3 linked regions of the Zea mays genome follow. The protein of the gene in region 3 interacts with the protein of the main gene of each other region in a pairwise test. Links are inferred from orthologs where the notes say so. Each region holds a gene or a part of one and is shown on either strand. Other genes may lie near its edges. The genes, in order: Protein SGT1 homolog, protein SGT1 homolog and suppressor of RPS4-RLD 1.

Region 1 (7,154 bases), on a different chromosome or scaffold from region 3:
GACGGTGCCTGTCCGGCGACAGGGACGGGCGTCGCCGCCCGCGGCTAAGGCCGCGGCGCTCCTGTACGACCTGGAGTACCTGGACTTGGACCACAGGCCGTTCCTGCTGCCGGCCGCGCCGTCGCCGTCGCCGTCGCCGGGGCCGCGGGCGGGGGCCGGCGGGCGCGAGCGCGAGGTGATGATCTCTTTCCCCGCGGCGGCGGCGGCGTCCACGTCCGGGACGCAGCAGAGGGCGTCGCCGCCAGGCCGGAAGCCCGGCGCGCGCACTTCGCGGCCTAAAAGAAGGTACCGTACCGGTCGTCCCGTGCAGCATAGAACGGTAGTAGTAGAACCAGCTGAAGAAGGTGGTGCGATGATATGATGGCTTATTGCTTTTCTCTTCTTTTTTTTCTTCCCTGGTTGTGGTATGGCAGCAAGAAGAGCCAGCTGAAGAAGGTGGTGCGGGAGATGCCGGCGGCCGACGGCGGCTCGTCGTCGTCGGACCCGTGGGCGTGGCGCAAGTATGGCCAAAAGCCCATCAAGGGCTCGCCTTATCCGCGGTAACTACCTTTGACCTCGCCTTAACATGCTTTCCACGCGTTGCACTCACTGCCTGCTACTAGCTAGCTGGTATAGGTGGCCTTATCGTCGAACGTTGACTCAATCACTCCCAACACCTTAATTATTGCCACCTTTTCTTAAGGAAACAAGAAGGCACCTTTTCTTTAAGGAAACAAGAAGAAAGGGATGGCATGCATGCCATCCTTGAGGCTTCGCATAGGTGTCCTAGCCTAGCTAGTGTAATTAGGAGCTTTGATAATTCAGCCACAAGAGCGAGACGCCAAAGCCACTTGGACATCACCAATCAAGCTTTTTGCAGTACAGTACTACGTACAAGATACTGTAATTCGATAGCCGTACTGCGTGCTTGCAGTTGACCCTGTGGCTGCTGGCCCGCACGCTCAGCGAACTAACGCGACTGTTGCGATGGGAATTGATCTGTGGCCGCAGGGGGTACTACAAGTGCAGCAGCATGAAGGGGTGCATGGCGCGGAAGCTGGTGGAGCGCAGCCCAGCGAAGCCCGGGGTGCTCATCGTCACCTACATGGCGGAGCACTGCCACCCCGTGCCCACGCAGCTCAACGCGCTCGCGGGCACCACTCGCCACAAGCCGTCGTCCGGCGCGGCCGCCGAGCACAGCGCGGCCTCCTCTCCCAAGAGCCACGAGCATGGTGGACAGGCGGCCGGCCGTGGCACCGGCGACCGCGAGCATGGCAGCAGCGAGACGTCAACGGTGGCCGGGGAGATTGGCGGCGAGGAGATAGCGGCCGTCGACGACGACAGCGAGTTCTGGCCTGAGGGGCTGGACCTGGACGAGCTCTTGGCGCCCGTCGACGACGACTTCGATTTCGAGCAGGTCATCGAGGCGGAAGATGGCGTACTGGGACGCCGGCTCTCCCTCTAGGTGGGCGCTGTAACGCCAGAAATCAGAACCTTCAATGGCAATGGAGGACGAAAAGACCTCGCCTCGAAGAGATTCTATGTATAGGCGTCTTTTTTGTGCGTGTTTCTGACAAACAGGACCCCGAAAACTAACGGGCTGATGAATTTCCGTTGTATATCGTGCTTGCGTAATCTCCGAGAAGTCGGTGCGCATTGAGTTTTGTACATGTACTCCTATAATTCAGGTGCCACCTGGCTGTATTGAGCGCATGAACCAGGCAACATACCTGAAACCTGAAACCAAGTAAAACGCCGATGCATAAATGCCAGGTAGAAATCAATTTTCCCATAAATTCAATTCATCCACCAAAGAGACGCAAATGCAACTGTGCCAACGGTGGACCACTGTAACATAGGTCCCTGCATAGTTTCTATTATTCAGTTGTGAAGATCACACTACGCTGACAAGAAAAACATCTTAGACCAAAAAGAATAGGCATTCCATACATTATAGTTTGCTGTCTTTGATACCACAGATGGTTCCCGGTCGATACCACATAATAGCATACCTATGTCCATCAAAAGCTACGGCAAGTAGCACTCAGACACACGCTAGACTGTCATACAGAAAGCTTACAAAAGCAGAGACTTAACCAAGCAAGCTCATGGCACTATGGGTGGACGGAATTAGGTCATAGTTTCCAAGACCTGGATTTACAAAAGATGGGCAGTCCAAACTTTAGTATTCCCACTTCTTGAGCTCCATACCATCAGGGGGGCTCCCTTCTACCTTCTTTGCTCCAACATCTTTCCAATTGGTTGAGAGAACAGTGCCATTTGATTCCACCTGCAGAAACGGGCAAGGATACGTGAGTATAGACATAAAATACAGTTGGCTCCAAATCCAGTATTAGCTGGGCCAAACATCACGTACGAATGACTTCATCATGGCCCTCCGCATATCTTCATCAGCATCCTTGTAGATGTCACGGAAGAATTTGTTCAATGCAGCATCACCATCAAGTTTTTCTTCCTTCTCCTGATGCAGACACAAATCATGAAACCCCATTCATATTCGATAAACCCAAGTTCTAGCAATAAGATCGATACATATATAAGTGAGGATCTTCATCAAACCTCCTTTTTGACTTCAGCTTCCAGTTTATCCCAGTCTTTTTTCGCCTTTGAAGATGGGTATGAAGGTCTTGGGGCTGTTTCAGCTGCAGAACATATATACAAAAAAATGTAGAAATGCAAGACGATTCAAGAAATGATCCAGATTGTCGATTGGCCAATATTATATACAGAAATATGTTCATCGCAAACTGTAGAACATGTACAAACAATCCATGAACCACAAAATGGACACACTAGAAAACTAACATGTGCACAAATCCATTACATTAAATTTAGTAGCCTCACTAGTCACTTGAACAACAATCCAGATTGTTTAGTTGACCAATACCATATAGAGATGGCTGTTGTTGTTCATCTCAAACTATCTATCATGTACACAGTTCCGGATAAAGCTTAATCATTTACCATCCACCATGAAATGAAATAGAAATGGACCATTGTAAGGCTATGCCAAACAGATCATGCATATGGCCATGCAAAACACCATTTACACTGTAGATTATATTGTTTACAAAGTGGAGTTTAAAATAAATGATAGGGATGAGTATGCTGCTGGAGCCTAAAAGTAAATTGTGTACAACTCCATAAATTTTAACTTGATAGTTCATTTAATGATTACTTAAAATTTAAATTCTTGCCGACGAAAGCAAGATGAGGTCACCTCAACAGATGGTCTCTAAGGAAATCTCCAACAGCTTACCAATCCTCATACCCATATTCAAATTTCAACCTACGAACAGTGCAGTCTACAATGCAAAACAGTGTTTTTGGTGACCATAAGGGTGAACTGCTGGACACGGTCAAAGAGTACTCGTTAATATCAAGGTTATTAAGGCGTCACTAAAGCAACACTTAAGCGGAAAGGTGAGCCTAGACATGCAAGGCGTCGCCTTGCCAGCGAGAGTAAGGGGCGGGGAAAGCAGCATCAGCAGCACATGGCCGGGCCGGCCAGAAGAGGAGGGAGAGCCACAGGGGAGGGAGGAGAGCTGCGGGGAGGGAAAAGCTGCTGGCGGCTGAGATATTTGTGTGGTGACTGGTGAGGTTTTAACCCTAAAATTGTTGTGTTGGGTTGGGTTGAATGGTTGTGGGATTATTTCTTTTTTCTTTTTCCTATTTCTCTCTTCCACTAGGCTGAAATGGGCCTACTAGGCCTTACGGTTGTGCTAGCTTGCTTATTACCTTTGAATCAGTGGTATATAAATAATATTTGGTGTAATTTTTTTATATTTATCTATATAATTAAGGTGTCACTTCGCCTTACTCTTTACCGCCTAAAGTTAAAAAGGCCAAAGGGGGTCGATCGCCTTATGTCGCCTTAATAACTATTGTTAATATCGCTGCATAACTACAAGCACAATACTTCTGGTTGGCAACATGCTTATGCTTCTTCTGTTGGCAAATCAATACTTCAAATAGGTGAATTAGAGCAAAGGATATTAACGTCTATGAACCATGATACACATTGACCGTAATTTCCCTAATACACCACAGTAAAGAATTAGAGGAAATGATATCAATAGTATGAAACACCATTGACCGTAATTTCCCCCAATATGCAATAGTAATGAATATCATGTATATGTATGTTAGAATATCAAAGTCCTCTTGAATGACAATATTATACACCATTGACCATAATTTCCCTAATATGCCATAGTAATGAATATCATGTATGTTAGAATATCCAAGTCCTTTTCAAGGACGATGTCATCATTCATCATCCGTGCATCATGCATCTTTATTATAATGCACTTCATTCCACACCATCATTCTGATATCCACTCTTATAAACTTCAGGCACGAAACTAGTTTCAGGGGGACAGTGTGCGGACTAATCTAAGGTAGGTGAATGATATGGAACTGAGCAAAGAAAGGTGTAGAGGTAGAAATACTTAACTACCCATATAAAAACATCCAGCAAACGACAAGATGATCAAAGAAACAAAAGAAAATTCAGAACTCTGGCCTACCCACAATTCAGAGTTAGCACTTAAAAGGTGCCTGATTATGCTTTGACCCATCTCTAGGATGGAAGGAAATCATCAGTAAATCACAGTTTCAGAGACTCAGACATGATGAGTGGCAATAGTTCTAAAAGATTTGTTACCTGGCGTGCTTATCTTCTGGGGAACAGTCTTTGGTCTTCCACTATAATCCAGGGTTGTCCATGTCACCTGCTCAGCTTTTGCAAGGCGTATTTCGACCTTGGTGGATAAGACTTGATATTTGCATTTCTCAGGGATAATCTGATTTCCAACAATATAAAAACATTTATTCACACATAAGAAAGGATTCAATAAGCTAATTAGATAAGTACAGTCCACAAACATTACTGGATTGACAAGCAATGCTATGCGGAATTTAAATGACAGGCCCACATGTCAACAAGACCAAAAGAAAATGACTCCATTACCAGGTCTTAATTGGTTTATATGTCACTCCAAAGAAAAAAGAGAGAACAAAAATGCAACATCACTTTAGTTTCCACAAACTAACAAAAAACCTTACAATCATTCAGAAACCTGATACACATGAATTTTATACAAGCATTCAAAATTATTTACCAAGAGCAGATCTAGAAACAAATCAAGAAGTGCTGTTGAAGCAATTTTTGGAGTTCACAAATTCAAGTCATTCCATGCTTATCAAAAGAATTGCATTGACTGCATTATATATGATGAAGAAAAAAGAACTGTGCTGTCTGCGGTGTATAAACCCAAATCGTTGAATGAAACACTGCTATGTCTTATTAGCTAACCAGTTTAGCTAAATCACAAAAAAAACAGGTGGTTGAACTTTACAGGGGGGTAATATTAACCAAAAACATCACAGTTGAGCACAGGACCTGCTAAATACTTCTTTAAAAAATAACACAAAGCAACATCTTGATTTGAATCCCCATTGCCTGTGTTTATACAGTAGAAAAAAAATGTAAAGTGAACCTTGTGTGTGCGTGTGTGTGTTTTGTTTCTCTGGAGTTATTTAATTTTTTCAGTCTTGACCTTTTGATTGAGACTCAGCATCTAGAAGTCATAAATAAATTTCTATTTTGTATCTGACCCTTGTCTTGAAGACAAAATGACAAAGTGCTAGCTATATGCTATACAGTAAAACTCACACTTTACCTTAATAACAGATAATAAGTATGAAAAGTAACATCACAATAGAATGGTGAGTGATTACCTTAGAAAACAGACGGGGCTGAAAATGGTATGGTTCTTCACCAGGAACTTCAATGGATACACTCAACTAGAATGAGAAACAAGATTAGTGAATACAGTAAAAACAGACAAGACAATTATAATAATAATATGAGCAGAACACACCATCTGTTCACCAAAATCAATGACTACACTATCAGCAGGAACACCCTTAGCAAATATTGTCAGTACCACTTCTGTGGCACTGTTGTAGTAGTCATGCCTGCAGCACAAATTGTTTAAGAGAAAAATTTAGCAAAAAAACTAGCAAGTCATGCCTGAATTAGAATATGCTTATCAGTAAACAAATCTGTACTGGGAAAAGGTAAAGTGGTTTGATTACACAGCATTCAATCCAAGCTAGGTGGTTCAAAGAGTTCTAGGAATTTACAGGAGTTACCTGTATTTTGGTTTGCTTGGGGGTTCTATCACTGGTGGTGTATTCTCCATATTTGTGAAATCCTCCTTGTCCTCAATAGTAGCAGCCACAGTAGCCTCAACATTCTTTACTGGTGCCTGGCTAGATTCCTCTGGAAACATAAACAAAATAACATGACAGGTAGTATGAGATGATTAAGCTGAAACATAATCATCCCCCAGTCTACAAGGCTGCTACAAACATTTCTCAGGAAAGGCAGCTAAGTGGACTCATATCGTCAGAAAATAGCATGCACCACATTGCATACCCAAGACCCCAACATCACCACCAGATACACACACACTGCTGAAGTTAATTTTTCTCACCAGCGATGCGCTCATCACATTCCTTCAATAGACGAGCAAACCTTGAATCGCCTGATGCATAAGAAGAACCCAACTCAAGAGCAGCCTTTGCAGTTTGGTATTCTTCAAGCTTAATGCATGCAGCACTGCAAACAAGAAATAACTTAGTACATAGATAAAAATGTAGCAGAGGGGTTATGGGAGTGTTCATGTATAACTTTTATTGAAAAAATGAAGAGTGCCACTAACCCTTTCCGGTAGTAAGCTTTATGCATCATAGGATCAAGCTCAATTGCTTTGTTAGCATCCGCCACAGCCTCTGGAAGTTTAGTTGATTCCATTAGTGCAATACATTTATTGTGTTTAAAACCAAATATGCAAGCCAATGATGGTAGCATGAATAACGCTACAAACTGAAAAGAAACTTCATGTGCAGTTTATTGTTACACAAACGAAGAAAGTTGCAATGACAACACCATGTAGTTTATTATTTTAGTAATTTGGTTGCAATGATTCACATGTAATCGAAGCCAAACTTTACACATAATTTCTTATAACAGCCACACCATTCCTACTGATTCAGATGTAACAAGAGCCAGACTTTGCATTCCATTTCTTATTGCAAAAAAAATACTGCAACAACAGCAAATCAACATGTGGTTTCTTATTTTG
Region 2 (7,037 bases), on a different chromosome or scaffold from region 3:
CCCGGAGAGCCACACCTGAGTAGGAATGGTAATTTAATCCGTGGATTTGGATATCTGTCGGATATCCGACCCGACGGATAATGATATGAATATGTTTTTTGACCCGCGGGTTAGACCCGTATCCGATCCGAGATAAAGTGGGCATGGATTTGGATATTAAATCTCACCCGCGGGTAATCCGTTGGATATCCGAAATTAACCATTAGTCCATTATTGCCAGGATGAACATGATTCTACTATCATTGACTAAAAAAATTCAAACACAGCTACTATAGCGCTAGCTCAAGTGCTCAACACTACACTCGGATCGGATCAATATTGATTGTCATGTATTTGTTTTCATGTTGAGACATGTAGACATGTATTTTTGTCATGTTGAGAATGTTGCTTGTTGAAGGACATGTATATTTGTTTAAATTTTTATGAAATTTTAAGTTGTGTATGATGTTGAATTAGGAAGAAATTTGATTAATTATGGTATTCAATTGCTGAAAATGGTTCTTTACCATATCCGATGGATATCCAATGGATATTCGAAACCCGATGGGCATGGATATGGATATCAATTTCTACCCGCGGATATAGTCATGGGTGGATATTATCTATGACCATGGATATGTCGGTGGGCGGATATTTTCAATATCCGATCCGAATCCGACCCGTTGCCATCCCTACACCTGAGCGTTGTCAAGCGGATCGTCTTTTACCTTTCGGGTATCGTCGACTACATGCTCCTTCGACACTCCACACATGAGTTGGTTGACCACACCGGCGTTGAGTGGTCAAGTGCCCAGGCACTCATCGATCTACCTCTGGCTATGCGATGTTCCTTAGGGACAACCTCATCTCCTATTCCTCCAAGCGTCAGCCCGTGATCTCCTGCTCTAGTGCTGAGGCTGAGTATCGGGTTGTTGCTAATGGAGTGGCTGAGGCGAGCTGGCTGCACCAACTCCTCTAGGAGCTTCATAGCCCCCTCACCAGGAGTACATTTGTCTACTACAACAACATCAGTCCCATCTACCTCTCTGTCAACCCTGTCTAGCACCAGTGCACGAAGCATGTTGAGATCGATCTTCATTTCGTTCAGGAGCACATTGCTATTAGGGTCGTTCATGCCCTGCACATCTCGATGACCTCGCAGTTTGCTAACATCTCCACTAAGAGACTTCCATCCTCAATGTTCACAGAGTTTCGCTCTAGCCTCAACATCTGTTATGGCTAGAGTTTCGTGTATGGGAGGTGTTAGACCGTGTGCTATTGTATGGTTGATTGTGTCCAAGTATTATGGGCCTAGAGCCTAGCAGATGTACAACCCATTAGGGTTATGGAGGAAACCTCGGTAGTGGCTGATATATATGTAATATTATCCATAAATTAATCCATCCATTCCACTCTAACATGAATAACACTACAAACTAAAAAGAAACTTCATGCAGACTTCCTTGTTACAACAAACAAAAAAAGTTGCAATGGCAACACCATGTAGTTTATTATTTTAGTAATTTGGTTATAATGATTCACATGTAACCGAAGCGAAACTTTACACACCACATCTTATTACTACCACACCATGCATTTCTTATGGTTACTACTGATTCAGACATAGCCAAACTTTGCATTATGTTTCTTATTGCAAACAAATACAATAATGACAGCAAATCAACATGTAGTTTCTTATTTTGGAAACTGCTGGTATGGATGCTGGTATGGATGTACAGTTAGGATGAGAGAGGAAACTAGAAGAAAACCAATGTTAAAGATGGTATACAACTATATAAAATATATAAAATAGGAGGCATTTTTTGGTCAAATTTAACTGCAGAATGTGGTCAGAATGAATTACTTGGCACTACAATCGTGCGCTAGCCTCTCTATCCGCTTCTCCCTCTCTCATGTGCCTCCGTCGCCAGCCATCGTGCGCTAGCCTCTCTCCCACCCGCCTTAGGTGACAAAGCAAGGCGGGGAGGACACCTTACCTCACTGGAGCGCCTTACCATCTAGGCGAAAATGCCTTAAAAACTATGTTCCAGAGACTCATACAACAAAATGACCTCACCCCATACTAAGACCAACAGAGATTAATACAATCTAAATCCTTCCAAATCACTGTGTCATCACAACTTCTTCAACATGCTGCTGAAACCCCTCAAGCCACCAATTGAGTTGTACTATTTCACATGTATACACACATTTCACCCGAAACTCTCGGAGCAACAACAAAAAAAAGCATAGCAATGAAGCAAGAAACAAGGGGTAACACATTACAAACCACATAAATGAAACTGGTAAGGAACTTGGGGCATACCTAAAAACATGCACAGCACCACGATAGTAGCGGACTAGGCGGATGCCTTACAACACACATTGCGACCCAACAATTAGGGAACTTTGGATAAAACGTATCACGCACCATTGTTATTAAAATGTCGTTTAAACATCGTTTAAACGTCGTTTAAGCGAGAAAACGTGATTAAAATTTGGAACGTCCGAGCGTTTTAGGTTTAGGGCGTAGAACGTCCGTTTCGAGCGTTTAAACGTCGTTTAAGTGTCCTAATAGCGTTTTAGGGTGTTTTACACGTTCTACCCGTCCTAGGCCTTTCTTGGGCCTTTAGCATTTTCTAGGTGGCCACTGGCCAGCGCTGGACGCACGCTGCGCTCCTCTCTCCTCTCCTCAGCCAATTGCCGCTCTCTGCCAACCGCTGTGGGGCTCAGCCGTGGAGGCACAACCGGCCGCCACCGCCGTCCTCCTCTTCTCCGTCGGCCAAGAACTGCGCCCACAGCAAACCTGCGGCCAAGACAAGAGACCTGCACTACACCCAACTGCCAAAGACAGGAGACCTACTCAACTGTGGAATCAATATTGGTGAGTACGTGAGTACTAATTTTGTGCAACCATATTGCCCAACAGTGAATCAATCATTCAATCTCTATTTGCTCAACCATATTGGTGAGTACTGATTCTATATTGGTTTGTGAACTCAACTTATGTATGAACTTATTCTATATTTGAATTTCTATGCCAAGTCTGAAAAGACGTTTCAACATTCGTTTAAATGTTACAAAGTTGGTTCATAACGTTTTACCGCTTTAATAACCATGTCACGCACACATCAAAGCGACAAGTAGGGCACTAAGAATATACATTGCAACGCACGGCTCAAAGCTATATCCCAAACATAAGGGCATGTACAATCCATTGAATATGGGTTCTCTTGCGAGGTTTTTAGGAGGTTAAATAAAAAAGTACCAGAGACAGTCTTCACAAAGAGACTGTCTCTATGTGACTCTCTATATATATTGTGTCTTCACTATATTTATAAACTAGAGGCTCAGGGTTGTATCGTACCATCTGTTAGCTGTCTCTTATATATAGAAACCCGATACAAGTGCTCAAAGTTGTACATGTCCTAATTAGCCATGGACATTTCACGCAATTTGAATCTTCATACTCCACAGTACACACAACATACAACAACGAACTAAACTCTGGCTAATCATATTCTCAACTCTAATCGGCCATTTCAGAAACACCAATCATCTAGTGCCCTCTTTGAAATTCAAATCGGATGATTCATCGCCCAAGTCTACACCAAAGGTCGACGTTGACCTCCCACACCCTACCCTAGAATCGCCACGAGCGAGCTCATTACAACAACAAAACAGTGAATCAAACTAGCCTTCTAAGGCCATCTCTAGTAGATCCCTTATTCATCTCCTATCTCATCTACTATTTCAAACTTCACTCTACAAATAGTATCGAATAGTGTTATCTACAGTGTCACGTCCCATATTTTACACGATCCGCCGAAGACGGCCTAAAAGCCGCACAACACTATACCAGACCCTTGCGGTTACATTCACACATGTTGGATTTATGGGCTTGACTCAATTTCAATTGAGAAATTCAATTAAATCTTAGGAAAATTATAAAAGCCCATGTGTGGCAAGGGAGATAGCTATTCGATCGCAACCTTATCGAATCACGATCGTATCGGATCGCGAGCTTATCGGTTCATGGACATGACCATATATAAGGCGTCTACCAACCATTGCCAGAGAACATCCCATCCCAACCTAAGTTAGGTTTTCGCCTCTGCTTACAGCTGTGACGCCATCGTAGTCCTCTTCATCCTAAGCATCGACGTGCATCTGCGATCGGGAGAGCAGGTCTCTGAAACCTATCGCCTTCGAGATTCTGCACCGGAAGAGGACGAATAAGGTTTTTGGGAAACGTCTTCACGTGACTGCTCGTGTTCTTCTCATCGACCCTGCTGCTTCGAATGACCCTGCTGCTTCGAAATTATCGATGTCTGATCAGTACGTATTATCTAATTTGACTTTATACTTCAGTTCATCTGTTATGGTAGAGATATACTTCAGTTCATCTGTTATGATAGAGATGTGCTGTATTTTTATAATTATATCGCTAGATAATAGGTTACTTGTGCACCTAGACTATTTATCGTTGATCATGATTTACATTCGGAATTGAATATGTAAAATGTCTAATTATTCAACAACACCCACGCTCGCTCGTCGAACTACTGTCCTCACACGTCAGCGCACAAGCAATCGAATCAGGTTGGGGGAGGGGGGGGGGGGAGGCACTGCCCGCACCAGTGTAGTTGCCGAGCTTGATGTGCGCCTGGGCGCGGTCGGCGTAGAGATCGGCAGTGGCGGGCCCGGCGTCGATGGCCTGCGTGTAGAGTTCGGCGGCCAGCTCGAAGTCGTCGTCGACGAAGGCCTCCTTGGCTTTGCTCTCCAGATCCGACGCGGCCATGGCGCTCCCTCCGGCTCTGGGCGTCTGCTGCCGACGCGACCAGACGATGACTTGAACGAGAGCAAACAGAATAATCGAGGTCACTCGTACGTGGCCACGTGGGCAGGGCAGGCGAAGGGATGGGGTTAACGGCGCAGCCTTTTGAATGGCCCGCGAGGTTCTAGAGAGTTCGATGAGTTAGAGGCCGAGGCTAGGGCGGGCCGGGGTTTAGCTGCATCATTTGCAGCTTGCGGATTGGGCTTCTTGTGCTTTTCTCTCTCTTTCTTTTTCTCTTTTGTGTGGGTCAAGTTGTCGGTCGTACTATGATTTTTGTTGCGAGAAAGGTTCGCGAGCCGCTAACTGATTGGTTGATTTGATTAGTTGGTGACTGTCGATTTGACTCTTATCTCTACTAATCCTTAAGGCAATAGTGTAGACTAGGCACAACCATACCCCCGCCTCCATCTCGACCGTCCGATTACCACATCAATCTCGCCTCCATCTCGACCGTCTGATTGCCTCGCTCTCGCTCTCGCTCCCGCAGCCGCAGCCGCAGCCGCAGCCACAGGCACCCGGCCATGCGAGCAGCCACCCCCGCACCCGTCTCCATCTCGCGCAGCCATGCCCCCCAACAACCACCCGTGTCCCGCCCCAAACCCCCGCTGCCATGCGCGCAACCGCCCCCGACCATGCGCGCAGCCTGGTGGGGCTCGGGCTCGGTGGCATGGTGGGCGCTGGCGTGTTCGTGACCACGGGCCGGCGCCGCCCGCCTCTACGCGGGGCCCGGGCTCGTCGTGTCCTACGCCATTGTCGGCCTCTGCGCGCTGCTCTTCGCCTTCTGCGTACGACTCCGTGGACATGGGCGACGGCGAGCTGGTGGTCCTCGACAGCCGCGGCGTGCTCCCTTGCTTCCTCATCATCTGCAAGGTCTAGCCGCCGCCGAGCCGACTCGGGACCTGACTGGAGCACTGACCGACCGTCGTGACCGCTAACCGCCATCGTTACTGTCCACGCTAATCGCTAGGCCTCTCTAGCATTGTTTTGGGACCCTGCTTTTCAGCAGTGTTAGCCTGTCAGGTGTGGATGAGCCACAGGAAATGGAGCCCGAGAGAGGGCTGATTTCTCTGTTGTGTGTCTGCATGCCGTTGTCGATGAGTTGCGCAGGATGCTGGATCCCGGGAAGCCATCTTTCACCCCCAGCAAAGGGAAGCCCAATTTGGTCATGTTCGTCGGCTTGTAGGGTCAGTATCGTTCATCTGCCTAATTGTTCGTTACATCTTATTCTTACATATAATGTCGAATTGCTTGTCTCCATTGATTGTGCAAAGTACCATACACACAGTAGAAGATGCATGTCTTCGTTCAGTGTTTATTTCCACACACCTGGAATGAAACAATAGAAGGTGTTTGTTTGATAAATCATTAGCAACAAATTATGTAGTTATTTCTTTTTCATGTTTAAATTGGGCGTATTTGTCACTGATGATTATATGTTTAAGGCCTTTATTTCAAAGGTTTGGGGCTGCCTATTTTTCGGGGGTGTTTGAATCTCGAAATGGTATAGAGAAGCATTCTCTTTTGCTTTCGCCTGTCCATTCAAACAGGTTATCTCTTCCAATCGCGTCGCTCTGCCATCCAATGTACCTTGGCCTTCTTTGCTTCTGCTCTGGTGCAATTTGCAGAGGACGGAAGAAGACTGAAAGCATCCGATCTCCCGGACGGCTCCCAACGAGATTCACGACTTCTCAATTCTCATCATCGTCCCTGTTTAAAGTGCTTTTGGCGCTACGCCCGGGTTCTCTTCTTCCTCCCGACGTCGCCGCTCGTCCATTTGCTCCCGTCGATCAATCTCTTCGTCTGTTTCCTTCCGTCGACCAAGGATCATGATTTTTTTCCAGCGCCAATAGGTTTCCGTGACACACGATTTGGCTGTATGCGTTGGCAACATCTTAGGGAGCCAGGCGATCGAAGAGGTTGGCCGTTGCCGGAGCGGGGCTCGTGTTGCATTTGTACTAGAACGAGACTTAAAGTATGCGTTGGTGTGTAAAGCTAGATATTATAACATCAGTGCAAGTGTGTAAAGCTAAATATTAAATGTTCTCCCCTGGTTTATGATTAATATTAACTCGAACAAAGAATTCTATTGTTGTCAAATGCCATTTTTTTACATGTATGCAAGGAGCAGTTGCTAGAATATTATAATTGGTAATTGGTATATAAACATCAGTTCCCATTGTTTACCACATATCTTTTCTAAACGTCATTTCTATTTATTGTG
Region 3 (6,400 bases):
TTATCATGAATTTGCAATCCTGTAGAATCACATTGATTAGTTATATAAGCCATTACACATTTTTAGGGAAATGCAGTAGGGAATGCCCTGCTGTGGTAGTAAAACATTACACTTGCAGTAGCCATGTTGACCTTACATTTGTATGGAGCCAAGAATCAACTTTTTCTTTGCTTAGATGTTCATATATTCTTATGGGAAAAAATTCCTCTCTTTTATTACAAAGACTAGCATGATCCACTGTTACATTTGTTGGCTGTTGCCTCAGCCCCAGCTGCTTATATTAAATGTGGAACCAACTTTTTCTTCATGAAGATGTTCATATGTTCTTCTGGGATAATTTTCCACTCTTTTCTTACAAAGACTAACATGATCTGTTTTTACATTTGTTGGATGTTGTCTCAGCCCTAGCTGCTTATATTAAATGTGGTCCCTTCCCTTATTTTTCGGCAGCTTCCTACTTTCTCTCTTCCAAATTATAAGACATTGCTTTTACTATATACTTAGATCTAGTATATATCTAAATGCATAGCAAAAGCTATGTACTTGGAAAAGCCAAAACGTCTTATAATTTGGAATGGAGTAATTTTCAGGTTTCATTTATTCTCTTAATAATATATTATTGGGGTTTTCTTGCAGAAGGAAATGGCTCTGTATATTGCTTCAAAGGCCAATTTAGAGTTCTCTCAGTTCAACATTGATGATGATGTTGACCCACTATTTAAGGTTAAGGTTATCCCATGTGCCTGTTACAATTCATTTGTGGTGCATCAAACCTAAAAGGGCTTCAATATGATCAATAGGAATACTGGTGCAAACGACTACATCCCAAAAATGTGGCTGAAAAGGTTTATCGCCAGCCACCGTTGCGGATCTCATTGAGAAGTGGGCGCCTTAACAAGCAAGACTTCAAATTCACAAAGCATCAAACAACTCTTCTTCTAGCTGCAGATTCAATTGGGAAGAAGATTCAATACAATTGTCATGGCTTCTTACCAAATCAACGTCAGGTATCCCTCTTGAAGCTTTACATTTTCCAATTGCTTCGCTGCCATCAAAATTATCCACCATGTAATTGTTCGACTGTCCAGACTGATGAGTGCTTCAGCTTCACCATGACCTCAGTTCTTTATATGTTTGAATTAATATTGATTACAATTAAGAATGAAATAGATCTGCACCTAGAATTTTCTACAGGTGGAATGTGACATTATTTGAGAGGTTGATTACATTGATTATGGTAAAGCATCAATCAATATATACATTTGAGGGAGTATATTGTGATGCTTACCTTGCTTTGTTTTAGTTGATATGCAAGGAATACTGTATTGAGTTCTCTACTGTCACTGGGTGAACACATAGAAGTCTTGTTGAGGATATTACTGAAGGATAAATCAAGCTTGCTGGGGGAATATACATATGTAGCTTTTTTTGTGCCTCACTTATCTGGATAAGTTTTGATGAATGCTCTTTTACATAGTTGCCTCTCTAGACATGCTAGCAGAGATTGAGCACTAACCCAGTTCTGAACTGCATGATGTTGGCCAGTGATGGCCTGGCTACTACTCATTTACGCTTGCTTTCTCCCACTGTGCTTGTATAATTAGAGTTTATATACCAGAGTGCTTCCCAGTTTGGGAATTGTGGAATGCCAGAGTTCTGTGCAGATTATTGGTTATTTCAGTTAATATTACATTTTCTAATTGTCATTTCATTTATTTTAAAATATATTCCAATACTCTTTATCGGTGCACTGTGGTCAAAAGTTTCCTGCTGTGCTAAAATTCCGTTTTACTTTTGAAGTACCGCATGGCCGGGTTGGCTGCTATTGAGATTGCTCAGAAAGTGTCCAAGGCTTGGCGCTTTCTAAGGAATCCGAAGAACATCGCAAAGTTAGTTAGGAAAAGGGATAAACTTAACATGAGCCAGAACAGGGGAGGTTATTGTAGCACTAGCACTTTGGCTGGATCTCCAACTTCCAGCCCAAATGAAGACAGGGTCTCCTCCGGGATCTCTCTTTCCTGGCAGGATGTCTATAACATTGCTGTTAAGTGGAGACAAATTTCTGAACCTTGTGATCCAGTTGTTTGGGTCAATAAGCTAAGGTGAGCTAAATGTTTGTACATGGAATACTAAACTGTTTAACAATTTTCTTACTCTTTCTCTTTTACCAGTGAAGAGTTCAATTCTGGATTTGGTTCTCATACCCCAATGCTTCTTGGTCAAGCAAAAGTTATTCGCTACTATCCATATTACCAAAGGTTGAAACATCATCTGTTTGCTATTTGGTTATTTTTAACCACTAATGGTCTACCTAACAAACATGATTGAGACTAAAAGGAGGTTGATATGTTGTCTTTGTATAGTCAATAATGGTCTTGTTTTCTCATACAGAGTCTTGGAAACTGCGAAGACTATAATGCTTGACTTGAAGTATGTCAATAATGCAGAGGACCGTGCAATTTTTCTTACAGATATTGACAAGTTGAAAAAGGTAAGCCATGCAGCAGTCTGTCGAGTAACATGAGCTCATGGTCAATATCAATGCCTCCATTTATTTTCTCAGCCACTGTATTAAGTAGATGAAAAGAAGTTGCAAATAAAAATACCCCAGGTCACAAAAACAAAAACAAAACACACCCAAATGTACACAGGGGTTACTAACTAAACATTTGCACCACACATACAAAAGGGAAAAAATGACCCAGGAACGCTATCAGTGCAGCAGAGCAGAGAACATTCTCCCTTTCCATCCCTGCCATGCACCAGAGACTTGACTTTCCCCAACACTAACCTGATGACTGTATGCATACTGAACACTGCCCTCTCAAAGATGCATACGTTCTGCTGTTTCTAAATCCTCCCTGCGCACAAGATGACCATGGAATGAAATCTGCTGCGTTGTTCCTTCACCAGCCTCTTAGTTGCATTTGCCACCATTCTGTGAAACCATCTGGTATACATTCCATTGGAGCAAGATATTGCAGTCCCATGAGTCCCAAATCGAACCTGTTAGCATGTTTCAAAATGGATAGGTAATGGTAATTTTTTATAGCGAAAGGGCCTCTAGCTGAGTTGGTTATGTAGTTTGAATAGCACTCCTCAGGTGAGTTCGATTCCCTGTGGGAGCGAATTTTAGGTTGGGGTTAAAAAAAAAAAATCCTCTCATATGTCCCACACCAAAGCACAGATCTAAGGCCTGGCGGTCATTCTCACATGCGCTACAATACCGCTGTGTTTGAGTAGGGCAGGGGTTTGGGAGTTTTTTCGACCTGCATGAGAAGGTCTTAATATACAATATCGCGGGGGCAGTCTTACCCCAACATGTCGAGTTTTTATGGTATTGTTTATCGCTCCATTAGATCTATTTCTTATTGTATGTCAAGGGCTGATTACCTTTTGGATGTGTTGAGCAAGATGGCTTGGATTTGATTGATTCTCATAGTAGTTTGTCATAGCTTTTCGGCAATGTGGAAGTTATGCTATGTTTTTGAAAATCTATGTTCTCATGAGAGATTACTCCTGCAGATAGAAATTGCATCGTCATGCTCAGATTTGTACCATGTAGTTGGTGAGACCTACTGGGTTGCTACAAGATGTGATAGTATGGCGTTTCGGGGGTAATTAACTTTTTTTTTACCTACATCAGACTTCAGAGAAAGTATTTAGAAAAAGAGTATCACACTATCCCTTGGCTTACATACTAACATAACATGCTTTCTTTCAGGAGGCGCCTTGAAGGGACAAGAATTACCACTCAAAACATGCAAGTTTGCTAGACACTTCTCTTGTTTTGCTCTTGGACTATGCTCTGTTGCTATCTACTGCTTACTTGTGTGATGGTACTGCAGAGGCAAGACAGGATTTGACTTTGCAATTCGAACACCTTGCACGCCATCGAGATGGGAGGAGTATGATGAAGAAATGACTGCAGCCTGGGAGGTACAGTTCAAATTTATTGTAATGTTGCTTATGACTTTTTTTTCCCCGAGTTTGGAGAAGGTTTGGTATGGGAAATGTTTACAGAGCATGACATTCTCCAACTGTATAATATCAGAGAATGCCTGTAATGGAAAGAGTTTAAGTCGTATTCAGACCCAATATGTGCTTAGGACTTGTATTGCTAGTTTATAATGAACCTAAGACATTTGTTGTGATCTGCAGGCTATTTGTGAGGCATATTGTAATGACACAAACCCCACACGAGACCCTGGTGTGCTTGATGCTGTGAAGGACGCGATATTGCGGATGACATATTACTGGTAATGATTGCAACCTCTACTCTCTCTCTCTCTCTCTCTCTCTCTCTCTCTCTCTCTCTCTCTCTCTGCACTCCCAACAAAATGATCCTAATCAATGTGGTGGATTTTGCAGGTACAATTTTATGCCTCTTTCGAGAGGCTCGGCTGTTGTTGGCTACGTAGTGTTGCTCGGTTTATTCCTGGCAGCAAACATGGATATTACTGCCAGCATTCCACCCGGTGTCCAAGTTGATTGGGAGGCGATCCTGTCTCCAGATCCCGGCACATTTGTTGACGCCGTGAAGCCCTGGTTGTACCCATCCACAAAAATAAGCAGGTGCCTGAAAGATTACACGGACGTCAGCTGCGCGTTCAGCACGACAGGTTCGGTTGTAGCGGCCCTAACATCTGTTGACCCATAGGTTATTTGTCCAAGTGTTATAGGTTGCTCCAGTTGTTAGTGTATTTGTTTCAAAATACCTCAGCTTTGCTTAGCTTGTCAGAATTTCTCAGTTTGCAAAAAGTTTGTATGTTTCTGTGTTGTATACAGATATGCAGTAATGTTGTAACTTGAAAAAAAATAAGATTTATTTTCATTGGAACAAGTTTTTTTTTTTTTTTTGTAATAAACAGTTAAACACCAATAAGTTTTGCAGTTACTTCTTGGATGTTTGTATGCCATGGTATATGGTCTTGAACACTTAGCCTAGAGGATTTCCCTCTTATTTATAGAGCTATTACTCAAGGCCTTGTGGTATTTGACATTTATCAGAGTCCATAAGCACGAATCCACTACTTTCACCATCATCATTGACTGACTTCGAGCTCTACACATACGCAAGTCAAGAGACATGTACAAACACGGTTGAGAGGTGTTGCGTTGCCTGTCGTCCAAAGGAGTTGATGTGGTCTTGGTATTTTGGACCTTCGTAATGCTGGTTTGGCCTTTCGGTTAGGTTGGCCCAACTGCACAGAGCCTCCTCTTGCTGTGTTGGATATTTTAGATATATCTAAATCAGCGAGATATACAGAAAATGAACACGAGCAGACCGTCGCAACCCTCAATACAAAGGCATAGGATAGAGCTGCTGCCGATCCTACAAGGCATAACAAGACTGTAGGCAAGAATTTAAACCAAATATTTCAACTGAATACATATTGACCATAACTAAGTTGAAAAGAATACCACAGATCGCTAACCAAGTAGAGTAGTAACACCAACCACCTCGACAAATTTCCAGGTAAACCCAAAACCACAGATAACTTATACGCTTTATCTATGCATCTCAACTCTAAGCACACGAGACAGCAGCAGCGGCTTTAGTTCTTGCCCCCGATCTCCTTGACAGCGCAGATCTGTTCCTCGCCCATGGAAGACATCACCGTCAGGAGGAGGTCCTTTCCATCATCATATCCGCTCTTGATCTGCAGACGTAGAGCGAAATGTCTCAGTCTCAGAGACCTGGAACAGAAGCGGTGGAGGGGAATCTGCCGCCGCTAACTGACCTGGCCTTCCAGAGCTTCATCAGTCGGAAGCCTGAGGTCATCCTTAGTGTTGCCACTGTCAGTCAAAAGGCTCACCTGTAAAATGCTCTCATCGATCATTATAAACTAAACTAAACTAAACCGGAAAGTATTACAGAAATGCCAGGTTGTTGCAATGGAAGCAAACGCACAAATCCATCTTCAGTGATGTCAATCAGCTGATACTCAGTGCGATCAACATGGGGAACCTGTACAATGCACGGACAAGACAAAAAGGTTACGTGCACTCATAACTGAACAAGCAACCACAAGGAGTGACAATGATAGCTTACATCACAGTTGTGAGAAGAAGGAACAATATCCTCAAGCTTCTTTCCAGTGAAAACGTCAATGCCAACAAAGTGGCACTTGGCATGCCCATGCTTCCCAGTCTTGGAAGTGGAGACCTCAACAACCTAAAACAAGAACGTATACTAAATTGTTTAGACATGTTCAGACAACATGTTAGGTGCAGAACCACCACATGGGAATAGCCCCATGGAGCACTTCATCCAGATGGAAACTGTGGCAAAATTGAAACCAAATCTTTATCCTACAGAGCGGCACTGTAGGTCACGGTATACATATCCATAGACACATCTGCAGCAAAATCCTTCCAGGTGTGAATGCAGCAGACC

The links.
Region 1: the proteins of suppressor of RPS4-RLD 1 (region 3) and Protein SGT1 homolog interact in a two-hybrid assay, tested with the Arabidopsis thaliana proteins (2 studies listed by BioGRID). The link is inferred for Zea mays from reciprocal best matches to the Arabidopsis thaliana genes SRFR1 and SGT1B.
Region 2: the proteins of suppressor of RPS4-RLD 1 (region 3) and protein SGT1 homolog interact in a two-hybrid assay, tested with the Arabidopsis thaliana proteins (2 studies listed by BioGRID). The link is inferred for Zea mays from reciprocal best matches to the Arabidopsis thaliana genes SRFR1 and SGT1A.

What each region holds. Positions count from the first base shown.
Region 1 is NC_050098.1:222,987,150-222,994,303, forward strand, and holds the end of Protein SGT1 homolog, read right to left. Parts: intron 6,802-7,154; coding exon 6,732-6,801; intron 6,629-6,731; coding exon 6,504-6,628; intron 6,290-6,503; coding exon 6,160-6,289; intron 5,983-6,159; coding exon 5,886-5,982; intron 5,809-5,885; coding exon 5,743-5,808; intron 4,806-5,742; coding exon 4,667-4,805; intron 2,643-4,666; coding exon 2,560-2,642; intron 2,462-2,559; coding exon 2,357-2,461; intron 2,270-2,356; coding exon 2,162-2,269; 3' UTR 1,886-2,161; downstream 1-1,885. Other genes in the region: WRKY transcription factor 22, read left to right, coding at 1-285, 414-539, 991-1,444.
Region 2 is NC_050103.1:149,010,574-149,017,610, reverse strand, and holds the start of protein SGT1 homolog, read right to left. Parts: upstream 4,860-7,037; 5' UTR 4,781-4,859; coding exon 4,618-4,780; intron 398-4,617; exon of another isoform or gene 1-397. UniProt on the Arabidopsis thaliana protein: Functions in R gene-mediated resistance, but participates in a lower extent than SGT1B to RPP5-mediated resistance. Not required for RPM1, RPS2, RPS4 and RPS5-mediated resistance.
Region 3 is NC_050097.1:242,701,839-242,708,238, reverse strand, and holds the end of suppressor of RPS4-RLD 1, read left to right. Parts: intron 1-636; coding exon 637-723; intron 724-800; coding exon 801-1,007; intron 1,008-1,800; coding exon 1,801-2,102; intron 2,103-2,171; coding exon 2,172-2,258; intron 2,259-2,391; coding exon 2,392-2,491; intron 2,492-3,525; coding exon 3,526-3,617; intron 3,618-3,724; coding exon 3,725-3,763; intron 3,764-3,848; coding exon 3,849-3,939; intron 3,940-4,161; coding exon 4,162-4,259; intron 4,260-4,371; coding exon 4,372-4,660; 3' UTR 4,661-4,983; downstream 4,984-6,400. Other genes in the region: eukaryotic translation initiation factor 5A-1/2, read right to left, coding at 5,559-5,663, 5,745-5,819, 5,915-5,971, 6,056-6,178. UniProt on the Arabidopsis thaliana protein: Negative regulator of effector-triggered immunity associated with the EDS1 resistance pathway. May localize its interactors to a microsomal membrane. May therefore negatively regulate RPS4 and SNC1 translocation to the nucleus.